Lepisosteus oculatus: one gene and its partner. The protein of the gene in region 2 binds, or shares a complex with, the protein of the main gene of each other region. Links are inferred from orthologs where the notes say so. Each region holds a gene or a part of one and is shown on either strand. Other genes may lie near its edges.

Region 1 (8,076 bases), on a different chromosome or scaffold from region 2:
CACTTCAAGTGATTTCCCACATGAAGAAGAGTACAGTTCTGCCAGTGCATTGCCAGCCTAAATGCTTCAGTGTTCGAAACACCAAATACTAGTTCAGTGATTCTACATTCACTGGACTCCCACAGTGTTATCCAGCCCTCCACGTCTACAAGATCAATATTGACCAAATGTCATAATGCTCTGGTAGTTTAATCAGTGATCAAGACCGAAGCATTCCAAACTTTCCTTGGACAAGGAGTGCAAATGGTCGCATTTCAAAACACAACATCACAGAGACCGGGATCTTGAAAAGGCACCACAGGTCTAGTTTAAATGGATGTGTGACAAAAACTATAAAATACTGGAGAAGCCCAACCTTTTACCAAAATCCCCACACACTCCACAGAACTGATTCACTCAAATGTTTTACCCACAAGCCAATTCCCTAAATTCCCCTTCATTTCCCATCCTAAACTAGCACATTCACAAGCCAACTTCAGAAAACAGGCTTTGTTTTTTTTTTTTAAGTTAGAACTGAAGGAGAGGCTCTTGAGAACTCCCCCCTTCTGTCAAGGCCTGACCACCTGGCCTCCGGGCTCCCACAGAAGGTCAGCAGACTAACAGACTAGCGAACAGGCCTAAAACACCACCGCGTAGCTACACGGCGTCAGTGACCGCTTTCCAACGACAGCGCCGACAACTGAACCCCGTTATTAACCCCCTTGTCCAGAGCCCCAGAGACCGTTATGGGTTTAAAGGGGTGCACGTCCAGCAAGCAGGATGCAAGGAGCTCGCATGCAGACGTTCCCCCGTTGCCTCCAGAGAACTGTACCCAGAGCAAAGGCCCTCCAGCCTCAACAGAACCGCCGCAGGCGCACACGGCCCACTCACTCTGGATCTCCGCTCCTCTCTCACACCGAGTGCTCCCGGGAGGGGAGAAGAACACCAACAACGAGTGACACCGCCTTCCCAGCAGGGGCCACGCCCCCAGCCCGTCACACCGGACCAGCGGGATGAGGCCGACCGACCCGGACGAGCACAACCCCACTCAGGAGCGACCTCCATTGGACCCTCCATCAAAAAGACCCGAGCTTCCATGAAATATTCATAATACTTGCGTTCTAAAAAAATAAAAAAAACCCTCAAGTTATCGCACGATTTCCGCGCAGCAAACGGGAACAGATCCATCCCTCCCGAGAGCCGTCCCCATCCTTCGGTTCCAAAGCGGCCTCCGGCCAGGGCTTCAGCTCCGGCTGCAAGCGGAGAGCTCAGGTTTCATATTAACCCCACGTCAGGCGTCACTGCCGACGCCAAACGGTCACGCTAGAACTTCACCTTCAGATCGAAACAAACACTGAACAGGACTGTAGCGCAATGTCACAAAATATCATTTCAAACAAACGAAAAAAAAAGATCAGCAGGCCTGCGCGGGGGGTAAGGACTGGTGTGGCAATAAAGAGTGCGCTTCATAACCAGGCTATAATTACGCAAGAGGCAGAAAGCTTTATTTAGAGCATTCAGTGTCAAAGGACTTATCAACCTGTTGCCTCTGAACAATGTTTATCTTTCCAGGAAAGGCAGGTATGGAACAACTCTGGCAGAACCAGTTTCAAAATCATCCACTGTGCTAAAAAAAAAAAAAAAAAAAAGCCTCTCATTCATCATGTTTTTTCATGCAATTAAAGAGGCATCAAGTGCACAGCCCCACCAGACCTGGCTGCCCCTTCCCTAGGTCACGACATTAACTAGACACCTGGACAGCGGGGGTACAGAACAGTTTCACATCTCCTGGGAGGAAGATGTGATTTTAAAGAGGTATTTGGAAGAAGCCAGGTGACAAAGAAAAAAGAGAATCTCTCCAGCGTTATTTTAACTACCTGGCTCTAACTGAAACCCAAGATCAGATCACTTTATTGGCCATATACAATTTCTTGCATTAGGAATTTGTACCCCAGCTTGCTCTCCATGAGACACACAGACAGGGAGAGAAGCTGGGGGTCAGAGTGCAGGGTCAGCCATTTATACAGCGCCCCTGGAGCAGCTGGGGTGAAGGGCCCCAACAGAGTAGGATTCCTCTGCCGGGCATCGTCACCTTTGTCACGAATTGTGTGCGTCACTGGTGGACTGTCAAAACCCAGGGCCCGTCTCCTTGTGGGGGGTTCACGCGTGGAGCCCAGCGATATCGGAGCCGTTCAAGTCGTGCGTGAACACCCCTTTCCCCGGGAAGCCGTGCGGACACCAGAACCCACTACGCGCATTTAAAGACCTTAACGCAGGCTTAATCGCCACCCCCGAGAAAGCAGGAACCTTTAGGTTTTGTTTTGGTTTTTTTTTTGTTTTTTTACACCCGGGTAGGTTACGCACGCCGGCGATTGGAAAGGCGTCAGCGCCAGTAAGTCCCAAGCTCGAACCGGAACCGGCGTTTTTTTTTTTAATTTTGTTATGAAACGTCGTTCACGGCTCGCCGAAGACGGACAGCCAGCGAGCCCCGCTCCCTCTGGGGTCGTGTGCCGCCGCAGGGCGGACAGACAGCGAGGCCACTGTGCTGCCGGAGCTGGAGCTGCTGTTGTTGTTGTTGTTCCTCGTCTTCACCGAGCGCCTCTGCCGTCACGTGAGGCGACGCCGAGACAATGGACCGGCCGCGCGCCGCCCCGCTCCCTCCTCGCGCCCGCGGCCAGCAGGCGGCTCGCTCGCACCTGAGCGCCACCGACGTCGCGACTTAACACGACCGGGAGGGGAGGGGAGGGGCGGCTGCACCCCCTCCTCCTCCTCTTTTTAACGCAACACTCAATGTCAAAAATGTTATTTTATTGGGACGTTATTCCTATTAAAAGGAAAACAGAAAGCAGGCTCCGTTTGGCTGCTGGCGGTCCCTCGGTGCTACGTACCCTCCTTGAAAATGCCACTGCTCGGCTACTTAAAGACGCGCAATGTCAGGTTTTATCTTTTGAAACATGGGGACAGAAAATGGGGAGTGGGGGAGGAGAGAGAGAGAGAGAGAGCCTAGCGGTCTGGCTAGCTGCCCCGGTCAACCCGGTACGGACGGCCAAACCAATAACACAGCAGCCGCCCGGGTCTCCTGGAGAGCAGCGCGTCTCGTCCGAGCCCGTCCCCGCTGCGCCCTTGTGTCAACACGAAACAACCGGGCTGACACACGGCTCCCACGCACGGCCGCCGCCGCCACTCACCCAGCAGAGCCAGCAGAGCCATCCCGGCGAGGAAAGCGCGTTTGCCGGAGCGCTGGGCCATGTCGTCAGAGCGCGGCTGACTCGGTAGATCACGCAAAACACGGCCCCGGTGGACTGGGACAGCCGACGAGACAGTCACGCAAAGGGGCCTCCACGCCGCCGAGCCACGCACTGCGCCTCCTTCCCACTCGTCCTGAGCTGTATCCCCGGGGTTTTTTTGTTTTTTGTTTTTATCTCAGCCTCGCACTCCGAAGGCGATCGACCCGGCCCAGACCCGCTCGCAGAAATCCGTCTCTCTCCCTCTGTCCGCCGCTGTACCAGGAAGAAGTGTCCCAGTCACGTGAGGCCCCTTTAAGCCCCCCCCTCGCGCGGTCACGTGAGCCCGGGCCCGCGCCGCCCTCGCGAGAGCCTCCCTCTCCGGGGGGAGGGGGCTGGAATGTCTTCCTCGCCGTGTCGCGACCGTAAAGTGGGGATTGCCACAGAGTTGCGTGGATGTTGGACATCCCACCCCGGCTGCGGTGGTGTGTGTGTACACGCGGGGTCTTTTTTCTTCTCTCTTCGTCGGGGAAGGACGCCTTTGACACAAAACTAGACTCGTACGAACAGCGCAGTCGGGCTCGGGCACCGACCTCCCCCCTCCTCTCTCTCAGCTGCTGTGTGACCATGAGTGTCCCTCTCGTCAGCACCAACGCGCACGGACCAAAATAAAAACAAGTGTGTTTTTGAACACACGTTTTGTATTCTTAATTATACAACCGGCGAATAAGAGACAGGCACCCCCCCCTTGGTCGCTAGAAATCTGGAAATTATGTAACTGATCATCTGGTCACTAGATATCATGCAATTAACCCCGTTGTGTCCCAGGGTAAATGACAAATCGAAAGGGAAAGGTTTGGAGTGCAGATGTTTGTGCCACAAATGGAGGTGTGACCTTGGAACGTGGCCCTGTGTTTGTGTGGGTTACCTCTGGGTGCTTCAGTTTCCACCCCCTGTCCAAAGACATGCTGGTGGGTTAAGTGACTTGTGTGAAAACTGCCCCTGGTGTGTGTGTGTGTGTGCCCTGCGATGGACGGGACACCTGTCCAGGGTGTACCCCAGCTTTGCTTGCTGGGAGGGGCTCCCGCTCCCCCGCTACCCTGTATTACAGCTGGCATTTAGGAGGACTTGCTGGTCGACAGAAAACTGCACGGGGTACTGGCACACAGAAGGACCTGATGGAAGACTTAATACTCCACATTTAGTACTTCTGTAGAAGTGTATCATATGAGCATGCCCAGAGGGGTCGGGCAGCCAGCTGACCTTGGACCCCTAGAGGTTTCTTTCCTCCTTACAGAGGAGTTTTTGGTCCCTCTCCTCCGTCGTCTCTTGGCCTTTTCTCTTCCTGTACTGTAACCTCCTGTACTGTCACACACAGCTTTGTTCAGCGCCTTGGGCCAACCTGGTTGTGAAAGGCGCTATATAAAAATAAACTGAATTGAAAATTGGAGTAGGCGGAGGGGAAAACAGATGAGTGGTAGATCCTCTTCGTAAGGACTGGAAGTAATCAGCATAGGAGCAGAAATGGAGTGGTGGGCTTGTTACGGCATCAATGAGACGAAGGCCCACACAACAACGTGAGCTGGGGAAATAAAATCAGGAATACCGTGGAGCTGTCACAAGGCAACGTCGAGAAGAAACTCGTCGGTCCTGCGTTTCCATGAAGTAAAAACAACATTATGAGGCCCTGGATCATTACACAGGTGTGACCACACCTAGAACGCCACGTGATGGGCCAGAATACCGAAAGAAAAATACCTGTGCTCAAACAATCTGTTCTCTCACGAATAGCACGACCGAGGAAAAGACAAAGGTGGAAAAGAACTTTGTGCAATGTGTTTGCCTTTTTAAATACATAACCAGGGAGCGCGGAGCACATTCAGCAAACAGGTAATCATCTCTTCTATTGCAAAACGCAAAACTGAGCTCTGTGCTTTTCGCTTTTGTTCACCGAAACGTGCCGTTCTGGGAGATTCAAGGTTCAAAAGCCCGACTTCCTTCCCAGAGAGGCAGAACACAATGAAGTAGTTCAGGTGGGGAGCTGCGTCAGCAGGCGGTGGCTGCAAAGGAACCAGTAAAGGTTTGTTCCCTGCTGAAAAGAGAAGGAAACAACGTTTCGGCTGTGGAGCCTTCTTTGGGTGCAAGAAGGCTCCACAGCCGAAACGTTGTTTTCTTTCTTCTCTTTTCAGAACACAATGAAGATGAGCCGAGGCCTGTTGAAGCGGGACCGTGGTGCCAGATGTCTCTTGGGATACACATGTACTGGACTCCTGCAAGACTTTCAAGCTGCAAAGTCAAAACAGGCCTCATTTGGTTGTAAAGGAGTTCCCGCAAAGAAGAGTCACAACCTGACCCTCTTATTTGGTTAAAATACATCCATTTGACAGCATCAAACCTGTTCCATAATATATGCAGGGCACACATTTAAACTGGTGTATGAGCCTCAGAACTTGGACTTCTCTCAAGACAAATGAGTTCCAGGAGTCACAACGAAGCATGCCTGTCATGTGATGGGTATTTTAGGGCAAGTCATGAATGGGATTGTAATTTCTGGAGCACTGTGAACCAGAACTTACAAAAAGAACAAGTAAAAACAAAAGTTTTGTTTGTTAGGATAAAAAGCAATGTGCTAATATTGAAAAGGCTGTTTGGGAGCAACAGGCAGAAGAACTCTTCACAATCCTTAGGCAGCAGACAGACATTCCTGACAACTGTTTTTTTTTTCTGTAAAGATCTGTTGGGAAAGGAAGCCCTGAAAATACTTTATATTTGCAGAATTCCAGAATTTGTATGGTCCTCAGGATCATCCACCTAGATACACAGCAGCTAACAGCTAAAAAAAAAAAAAAAAAAGAGAAAGAAAAACAGTATTTCCTTCATTTTATTATCTATGCAATATCAGCACCTTTTGTTTCACCATTGTACAGAAGTGCATGTACTGTAAAGTGTTTCAGTTTCCCGTAACAGCACAACCTGGCTGCTGGTAAAGGGTTGGAACAGATTACGTTAACGAGACTGTAGAAGCGATGGATACCCATGAAGAATAATAAGACATGGCACCAAATACTGAGATTGCTTTTTTAAAAATAAAATACCACAATGCTATTATACAGTACTTAGCAAATACACGAAACGTCGTGTTTTCTTTCTTCTCTTTTCAGAACACAATGAAGATGAGCCGAGGCCTGTTGAAGTGGGACCGTGGTGCTGGCAGCATGCAGCCCAGATGTCTCTTGGGATACACATGTACTGGGCTCCTGCAAGTCTTTCAAGCTGTGAGGTCAAAACCTCAAAATCATCACTTCACCGATCCCTGTGAACACAGTAAAGTCCACAGGCAGGTGCAGAAGTCGGTGGCAACTCCTGCAACATATCTGTCTGAGCTACTGTGCTCAAGTAGCATATCATAAGCAGTGCTTCTGGTGTAATTTTCCACAGGGGCAGCCCAGCGGAGCAGTGGTCAGCACTGCTGTCGGGCAGGGCCCCTAGGTGCAGTTCCTCGGTGTGAGGTTTGCACATCGTCCCCGTGCGTTCGCATGGGTCTCCTGCCCCAGGCCAAAGGCACACTGGTACATTCTACATTCTTTCCAAAGTAGTTCAGGTGGGTAGCTGCGTCAGCATGCGTAGGCTGCAAAGGAACAAGTAATAGGTTTATTCCATGCTGATAAAAAGAAGAAAGAGAACACAACGTTTCGGCCGTGGAGCCTTCTTCAGGTGAGGAGCCACCTGAAGAAGGCTCCACGGCCGAAACGTTGTGTTCTCTTTCTTCTTTTTTTCAGCATGGAATAAACCTATTACTTATTCTTTCCAAAGGTTCAGTTTAATTTAGAAATCTGTAAAGGTAGTTTATAACCGGACAAGAAGGAAGAATTAGCCGGACAAAGGACTTCGCTTTTTGATTAACGATTCGGTTTAAGGCTACTTCATCCTACATACAGTATAGCGCATATTTAGGTTAATGGGCTTCTGGGAGAACTGGCCCCATCGTGAGTGTGCGTGTCTGCGTCTGTGTGCCTCCGGTGATGGACAGGATGTATCCCACCGTGTGCCCTGAGCTCTCCAGGATAGGCTCCAGCCCACCAGACTTGAACGGGCCGCATCAGCGGTTATTTGAAAGTGATGTGGTCTATCTGTTCTTACTGGAGTGAGTGCAGTGGTAGCCAGCAGCCATATCACCCTGCAACTCACAACTGGCAACCCACTGAAGCTAAGCAGGTGTGGGCCTGTTCCATGTTTTGTTCCATGTTAATTTTATTATTTTTATTTGCTTTGGCAACACTGATTGTATCCATCAGTCATGCTAATAAAGCACCTTGAATTGAATTGAATTGACCTGGATGGGAGACCTCCTGGGAAAAACTGAGGTTGCTGCTGGAAGAGGTGTTAGTGGGGCCAGCAGGGGGCGCTCACCCTGTGGCCCACGTGGGTCCTAATGCCCCAGTATAGTGATGGTGACACTATACTGTAAACGGGTGCCGTCCTTCGGATGAGACGTAAAACCGAGGTCCTGACTCTCTGTGGTCATTAAAAATCCCAGGCCGTCTCTCGAAAAGAGTAGGGGTGTAACCCTGGTGTCCTGGCCAAAAAAAAAAAATTCCCATTGGCTCTTACCAATCATGGCCTCCTAATAATCCCCCTCTATGAACTGGCTTCATCACTCTGCTCTCCTCCCCACTGAGAGCTGATGTGTGGTGAGAGTACTGGTGCACTATGGCTGCCGTCACATCATCCAGGTGGGGCTGCACATTGGTGGTGGTGGAGGGGAGTCCCCATTACCTGTAAAGCGCTTTGAGTGGAGTGTCCATAAATACATAAGTGTAAGCAATTAATTAATTAATCATGTATGAAACACAGCTGGCAGGTGACCAACAAC
Region 2 (7,783 bases):
TGGTACCAGGCTGAAATACAATGTCACTGCGCCAGTGCAATTTCTTACCATGAAAGACAGTGTGAGGTCTGGCATTCCTGACAGCTTGACGCAAGCATCTACAACGCCCTGGATTTCTGCAAACACTGTTGTGCCTGTCAAAACCAGAGAGAACAATTCCTTTGCGCCATTTTACAAATCTACGGCAAAAGTGCAGTCAGCATTTCAACAGCGGACATTGTTTTTTCAATAATAACCTTCTCACTGAAATGAGTGGCTGAGGTATCTTAACCTCCCGTTTTTATTTAGAATCTGATGCTAGCCATTTTATTAGAGTAAATCATTGTGCATTACAACCTCAGAAGAAGAAAATTAATAACCGAAAGCAGCCTGCACAAGTGTTTCCTTTGCTAAGGGAGAGTGACAACCTCATCTAGACTGGCACAATGTGCTATGCAACACACTCGGTCAGACAGACAGCAACTGTGCTTGTCAGGAGTTGGAGCACAGCTCAGTGTCAAAGTTACTGCAGGATGACATCTTTGAAAAACCAGACTTTCTTCTTGTGAAGCAACAGAAAACACCTTTTCAGGACAGAACATCATTTTTTGCGTGTCCAGAAGTACTTCACACAAGTGCTTGACTCCAGCTTTGTGTGTGTCAGTGTAACAGGTAAAATCATGTGCACGCGCACCAGCGTGAAGCATCACGACTGTACCTGACTTGTCCAGAATGGCATCTATTTCCTCCACCACGTCGAAGTAAGCTTCGTTGTTAGTGTACTTGACCCCGGCCCTCCTCCAGGGGATAGTGGACAGCTGACCAGTCGGCAGCGTCTCCCCAACATTGCTGCTGCCTGCAATATTTAGAAGATTGCAGCATTTCCATGGAGACCACTCAAAACGCACAAAACAAAGTGGAAAGAGACCATCAGTCCCTGGTGAATAAGTTCCAAACTAGTGTTTTTGTAAAAAAAAAAAAGATTCTACTTATTATTCTGGGGGTTCTGAACTCTGCAGAACTTCCCAGTGACGTGGCGCAAGGCTGTGGGGGGAAAGTACAGGGGGCTTTCAGGATTTACCTGTGATGGTATTGACAACAGAGCGCAGGATCGTGGGCGGTCTGATCAGCTCTTTCAAGATGTTTGACTCTGTAGCCAAAGGAAAGCCATTATCTAGCATCTCCTCAAGAAGCTCATACACAATAACTACATTGTCTTTTACAGCAGCCTCCGAGCACTCTCCAAAGTAATCCTGTTTTGGAAAGACACACAAAACACACTTCAGAACACAAGAAAAATAGCAAAGAGGAGGCCATTCGGCCCTGCCTGCCTTTCTGATAGTACGGTAGAAAGTGAAATGACGCATCATCCTAGTTTAATTCCCCGTTAGTTCCCAGCTCAGACCCTGGGTCAGAATCCCCCCCCCCCCCCCAAGCATGAAACAGTCCCCTGGGCCAACCCTATCAACACACCTCAGGAGATAAAACACTCTTTGCCCACTGGTTTTTGTCCCAGCTGTGCTTTGAATCGCTGGAGCTGCCCGATGCCTTTAACGGGCCTGTTTGGGAGTTCGCAATTTCGTTGAATCATTTAAACATTTGGGTTTTGATTTAAAAGTGTAGTGCTCCAAATTATACAGGAAATTATACAGGAAATTAGGAGTGACTTTATAAACGTATTAGAAATTTGCTTATTTATGGCTAACCAGCACTTATAATAGATGATACAAGGTTGATAGCTTGATACAGGTACAGGATACTAGACAGGTGGCAAAGACATTAAGACCTACTCCGTTGGGCCCCTGAGCAAGGCCCTTAACCCCAACTGCTCCAGGGGCGCTGTACAATGGCAGACCCTGCACTCTAACCCCCAGCGTCTCTCCCTGCCTGTATGTCTCATGGAGAGCAAGCTGGGGTATGAGAAATAGACAAATTCCTAATGCAAGAAACTGTATATGGCTAATAAAGTGATCTTATTTTATAAGAGCTGAAACAGCAAACTGAAATCGATTACCCTGCGATTAAAAACGCAGCTGGAACAAAAACCAGAAGAGACCCGAGTACCCCGAACAAGGGCTAGGTGTGCTACCTGCGTGTTACCTCCCACGGACAACAATTATTATTATTTTATATATGGAGTTCTTAAGAAGAAAAGGGGAAAGCATAATGCAAATTTCACCTGCACCTCCCTTTAACTGAAGAAATACTTCCGATGAAGACGGAAAGCAATACTCCAGAGAAACGCTTTTATCGACCGTTACCCCAGACAAGGGTCAGCTACATCAATCCGTGCACAAAGCACAAGCTTGTATTTTTTAAAGAAAGAGTTAAAATCGACCCCCCACCCCAACCGAGGCCGCGCGACGGCTCACCTGAAACGTCTCCGCCACGCGATGCAGGAACTCGATCACGAAGAGGGGCGGCACCTCGGTCTGGCAGACGGACACGAAGAAGATCTTGCCGCGGAGGATGTTGATGAGGTAGTGGTGTGGCGTGGGGATGACCGGCGGCACGTTTTGCGGCTCGGACACCTTGCCCTGCGCCTCCAGGAAGTAGTCGCACACGGAGCGGCTCACCGCACTTTTCCAGTGCTTCTCCAGGAAGATGTCGCCCGCGGGGTTGATCAGGAACAGGCTGTGGATCATGGTGGTCGGGCTGGAGAAAACGCCAAGGTTCAAAAGCAGCCGATGAGTTACGGCTTTGGCTCGGCAGTCTGGCTGGGTTTGCTCTTTCTCCACCGCCCGGGGTACACGCTACCATAACGTTCCCACTGAGTAAAAGTAGAATCCGGGGGTTTCTGTCGGCGGGGCGATACGGACGGCTCACCTCGACAATGAAACTCTTGCTGTGCACACTTCGCCGGCACCTCGGAGTCCAGGCCGTTAGCCGAGGCTGTCAACTAGTTAATTAAAAAACTTAATCCCTGACAGAGATCAGCCCCCATCGCCCGGGTGCAGGTAAACGCAGGACGTAGGGAGAAGTGTGCAACAGGACAGTGGAATTAAAATAGGAAAGTTTGATAAAACAGCGCCAGTGAGCCATAGATAACGAAGTACAGCGTCACTTAAAACCACGCAAATGTGCTCAGACTTAAATCTTACATGATTTTGTTCTCTCAAGTAGTCCGGTCTCTGTGTACAGAAGACAACCTGTAGATTTAACCAAAAACTTTGTCTGTCTCGAGTATTTGATGCGGGGAACACAACCAAAGCCCCGCTGTAACTAAAATTAATCATTTTAAAAAATCTTGCTACTTACGAGCCTGCAGATTTCCTCGATGCGGGTTAAACGAAAGAAATCCTCCCGCAGAAAGATATAAAGTAGCGCAATCCAGTACCTTGAAGTGCGAGCTCAGTTCCGCTTCTGCGGTGTGGCAATATGGCCGCGCTGTGCTCCCGCATGGACCCCTGCGAGAGTCCCGACTTCTGTGCCTGCAGCCTGCGCACAGAGACGGGACAAAAACGGCAAGTACTTTATCCAAGTGCGAATTTAACTTTTTTTTGTAATTTTATTTTATTATAAACTATACGGATTTTCCCTTTGAATTCGGTCAAGAACGACAGAGCAGCTCCTTCGCGGCGGCTACACTCAGGCGTTCTCCGCGGACAACTTAGCCGTTTTTAACTCCTTTTTTTTCCCCCACGACTTTTTCTTGGCTCTTTTGGTCAAGGTGGCTCAGGCAGACGTACGCTGAAGATGGCATCTGAGGAACCGCAAGCTAAGAAACCGAAGCTGGAGGAAAAGGAGCTCAGGTAGTCCGGAAAACTGCTTTATTAACTGAGTGCACTGCTCGCCCTTATTTGAGAGAAATTAACCCGTTCGTTACACCGGGCTCTGCGGGTTGTGTTTGGGATGGGGGGGGTTTGATGGGAACCGGGTTCTTATTTAAAAAAGTAAAAGTTACCATCAATTTTCAAGTACTCTTATGCTTGTGGATACTAGATAAACAGTCGTCTAGTCCAGGGCAAAGGGGAGTATTATTGTAGTGAAAATAATCTTAAGAATCGGGTCCATTTTTAAAAAGTACTATAGCGTTAGTTAAGTCTACCGTCTTGATTAAAACAGATGAATCGCGTGCATTTCGGAGCATGAATGCACCCTTCGCTGGCTCATTATAACTGCTTAGCGGTGGCCGAGGAAGGCTCTGTTGTTTCTATCTCTATGTTCATGGATAGCGCAAAGCGGCAGCGCTTCCGAGCTGCCTTGAACATGCCGGGGCGGTGAGCGTGCAGCCCGGAAGGTCGCCTGCTCGCGCTGCTCAGTGCAGAGTTCCCTCCACGTGTCTTTTGTTATGTGTAGCGGCGAGCCGCGCGGCGGGGGCTGACGTCTCCCTGTTACACAAGCCGCGCAGGTCGGAGCTGACCCCGGCGCTCGCTGGGTAACCGGCTGGTCAGCCGGCGGGGCGGGGAGGTGCCGCGGAGCAGCTAATCGCTAGAGGGGCGAAGTTTTTGGCATGGAGTTGAACAGGTTGCCCGCCTTTAGGAGGAAAGGTCTTAGGAGTTCAAATGCCTTTTTTTATATTTGCTTTAATTGGCATGAGATGTTCCCCCCCCCCCCCGAAGTTCTCACAAATATCAATTGTAAATTAGTGTCCCCCCCCCCACACACGCGATCAATTGAATAGTCATGATGAATTTAAACAGCAATTTTAAAGTTATTGCTACAAACTCCTTGACTGTGCTAGGTATGTCTGGCTTCAGGTGTTTGATATCGGGGACTCAGTGGATTGTATAAATGCATCCACTTTTCTGTTTTAAGTCGTCGATTAGTTAACTTGTTGAGAATCGAGCTGAAATGAACGGTTTCCATTAAGAATTCAGTGATCTCAGGATCGCAAGTCTTGGATTGCAGCACGCAGAATCATGTCAGATTAGTGTTTCAAACTGTTCTGCTACGATTGCGGGAGCACAAAAGTCATACAAAACGCCTTCCACGTCTTAAAAATAGTGAAAGGGCTTTTCAGAAAACGAATTCGAATGTTTTAAAATCTTCCCCCCGTGAAACACGCAATTTTGGCCCAGATCCTTCTTTGCAGCGTGTAAGGACCAGACATCACAGAGTTTAGCGAGATGGGACTTGCTAGGCAGTGCATATCACTTTTGCATTCAAGACGGCGCCGTCTCCCACTTCTAACAAAAATGTGCAGTTCTAGGACCCCGAGCGACAATGACGCAGCCAACCGCGGACGTGGTATATAATCCGCCCCGCCCCCTTGTGTGTCGGCCAATCAATTCAAGAATACAGGCGGGGGTTCCGGTTTCAGGGGCAAACTGATACAGAGAGCACGCTGCCGCGGCTGGCTTTCTGCTCAGATTAACACGGGGGAGCCTGTCTGCTGCTTGTCACCCGGCTGCGCCAGGACCTCTCGCTAGCGAACATGCCCGCAATAAGGTAATGATGCCTTGATACGGAGCATTAGGGGGCATTAGTGGCGGTGACAGGTCAGTGATGGTCTACTGCAGACTGCAGGCGTGCAAGAGCATACCTTGCATATTAGATTTATTTGATGTGGCATTGCATACTGACCAACATGAATATCGTTGATCGATACAGCGATACAGATATGGCATTTTATCGGTCTCAGACGAAGGTTTTGACATGTTGAAACTACGTTCTGCGTGCACGCAGATGAGTTAATTGCGCGTGGGTGGGGTTGGAAAAGTTAATGCACATCACATTCTTGTTCGGAGCACGAGCCCTTCATTTATTATTTATTTTTTTGACTTGCAGTAGAAATTCGTGCTTGTTTTTAAGTTTGAGATGTGGAAGTTTCCTTTATGGCCATGCACAGACACCCCGCGCATGATGCTAATGGTAATGTTTTTTAGAATGATTCGTATTTATTCTCATGCATCTTGCATATAGCCGTAAGGTGCAAGAGAACTATCTGTAGGCGGTTGATATGCAGTTTGGAATTCGCACCGACAAGCATTTCTGGGTTTTGGTGAGTGCATAGCTCGGAATGGCCTGAAATCTCCACCTGTTGTGAGAGGCTCCAGCACAGCAGTTTGTCTTGCAGCATATGTGCTCCTTGGTGTCTTCTAGCAGGGATCGCTGGGAGATTAGATGGAGCAGTGCTTTGGAATTCGGGACGTTACATGGTGTGTTTTTTTTTTTTCCTGTCTTATTGGTCTTCAACTTCTGACTTATGTGGTGACTGTTCACAACATTTCAGTGTTAAATGTTTTAAAAGTGTGTTGTAGGTTCTGTGCACCACTTGGATAAAGTTGTAGTCCATATTCATGACTTAACTTGCATAAATGTGTGGTTGCAACGTTTTTTTTTTTTAGTTCAGTCCCTGGGGGGAGGTAAAATAGTTAAATTCCTGCAACTGTCCAAACCGGATTGTTAATGGTAAAAAAAAAAAATGTAGGGGCCTGTCTTTGTGTGAGGTCAACTACGCAACCTGATGCAGGAGGGAACTGTTTCTTTTCATCTGCTTTTGAAAGAAGTTTCCTGCCCTCCCAGGGATGACTTAATGACTCTGAGAACGTGCTGGAAGTTTTACAGTCCTCTGTGCTGGGGAAACCTCATTGCTGCCAAAATGAAAAATCTCACATTTACATTGGTCTGATCTAGCCTGCAGCCAGGGAATAGTTTTGAAAGTTTTGGGGGTGGAACGCGATGTGAGGAAACATTGTTTCACGCTGCCGTCTCGTTGAGGCTTTAAGGGTTCTGATAGGGGTGCACGAGGGCTTTCTGCTGTACAGCACGTGGCGAGTGTGGTTCCAGAAGGCCGTGCTCGGGCTCTGCTGCAGTGGCGGTGGGACACGGGCAGAGCCGGTCCTCCTTCTTTCCTGTTGACATGTGGGGAAAATCTGGACCTGCTTCTGTGTGTGCTGGCGGAGGAGCTAATCCCAGGCTGAAGAGGAGGAGGAGGCGGGAGCTCTCTCGCGCCTGAAGAAGGCCCAGGAGCGGAAAGCCTTTCTCCTTTTCTGCTTGGCATTACCCTGCGCTTGACCATCTGCATCGCAAACACTCGACCGTTCTGCAGGGCCCGGGGCGCTGCAGCTGGTGCGCCTGAAGCCGAGTCGAGTCCCTGCTGGTTTCCTGGGAGAGCCGTTTCCTCGGGGCGAGGGCGAGTCAGGGCGAGCGCGTGTTGAGGGGGAACGAGGAAGGTCCGTGAATCCTGACGTTCGGCTGTCTCCTCCGCAGTACAGAGCGACCAGTGTCAGGAGGGGAGGGGGGTCGGCTTCTGGAGTGAGGGCCCTTCGGAAGCACAGAGCATGGAGGTGGAAAACCTTTCGCGGTCTTTCACGGTTTAATGCTTTATCCACCCTTGAGACAGCTGCGGTTAAATATAGTGTCTTACATAAGCATTTTAAATTTTATACATGACTTGCCGTGACTTTCCTGCAGAAATGTTCCCTTCTCTCCCTTCTTTTTCTTGGAATATTTCTGTAATGCCGGGGTTCTGTGGGAGGGTCTTTATGCACTGGGGTTTTGTTCACACATCTTGGTGTCATTTCTGTTTACATTAAGTGTGAACATTTTAGATACAGGTAGCAGATGAAAACAAAGGAAAGGGTGGGTGTCTTTCTCTTCTTGGAGAACACAATTGAGTGAAATGTCAGCAGCCTTTACTTTCCTGCTAATTTACAGAGACTTGAAAGTTAAAAGTGGTCACGGTCCCGTGGTTCAGATTCATATTTTAAAATGTAATATAATCTCTGTAAAATGGAGGGTATTTCATTTATTGATTCTCACAGTCAATATGTGGTTTTCTAAAAGTACTGCTAAATGGAAGGAAGCTGTTAGTCAACCACTTACTGTATTTATTGATGTAATTGCATTTGTGTGGAAT

Evidence for each region. The genes of interacting proteins can lie anywhere in the genome.
Region 1: the proteins of ap3m1 (region 2) and lamp1a are in contact, whole or in part, in a cryo-EM structure (PDB 9C5A), measured with the Homo sapiens proteins. The link is inferred for Lepisosteus oculatus from reciprocal best matches to the Homo sapiens genes AP3M1 and LAMP1. Residues at the interface, in NP_001307192.1 of Homo sapiens: Glu178, Tyr180, Phe181, Asp182, Gln381, Val389, Asn390, Arg391, Leu392, Phe402, Lys403, Gly404, Val405, Lys406; in NP_005552.3 of Homo sapiens: Ser410, His411, Gly413, Tyr414, Gln415, Thr416, Ile417.

Annotation. Positions count from the first base shown.
Region 1 is NC_090710.1:28,757,401-28,765,476, reverse strand, and holds the start of lamp1a (lysosome-associated membrane glycoprotein 1a), read right to left. Parts: upstream 3,487-8,076; 5' UTR 3,229-3,486; coding exon 3,168-3,228; intron 1-3,167. UniProt on the Homo sapiens protein: Lysosomal membrane glycoprotein which plays an important role in lysosome biogenesis, lysosomal pH regulation, autophagy and cholesterol homeostasis.
Region 2 is NC_090699.1:17,732,310-17,740,092, forward strand, and holds the start of ap3m1 (AP-3 complex subunit mu-1), read right to left. Parts: upstream 3,369-7,783; 5' UTR 3,238-3,368; intron 3,129-3,237; 5' UTR 3,081-3,128; intron 2,635-3,080; 5' UTR 2,625-2,634; coding exon 2,352-2,624; intron 1,233-2,351; coding exon 1,061-1,232; intron 836-1,060; coding exon 698-835; intron 135-697; coding exon 49-134; intron 1-48. Other genes in the region: adka (adenosine kinase), read left to right, coding at 3,676-3,731. UniProt on the Homo sapiens protein: Part of the AP-3 complex, an adaptor-related complex which is not clathrin-associated. The complex is associated with the Golgi region as well as more peripheral structures.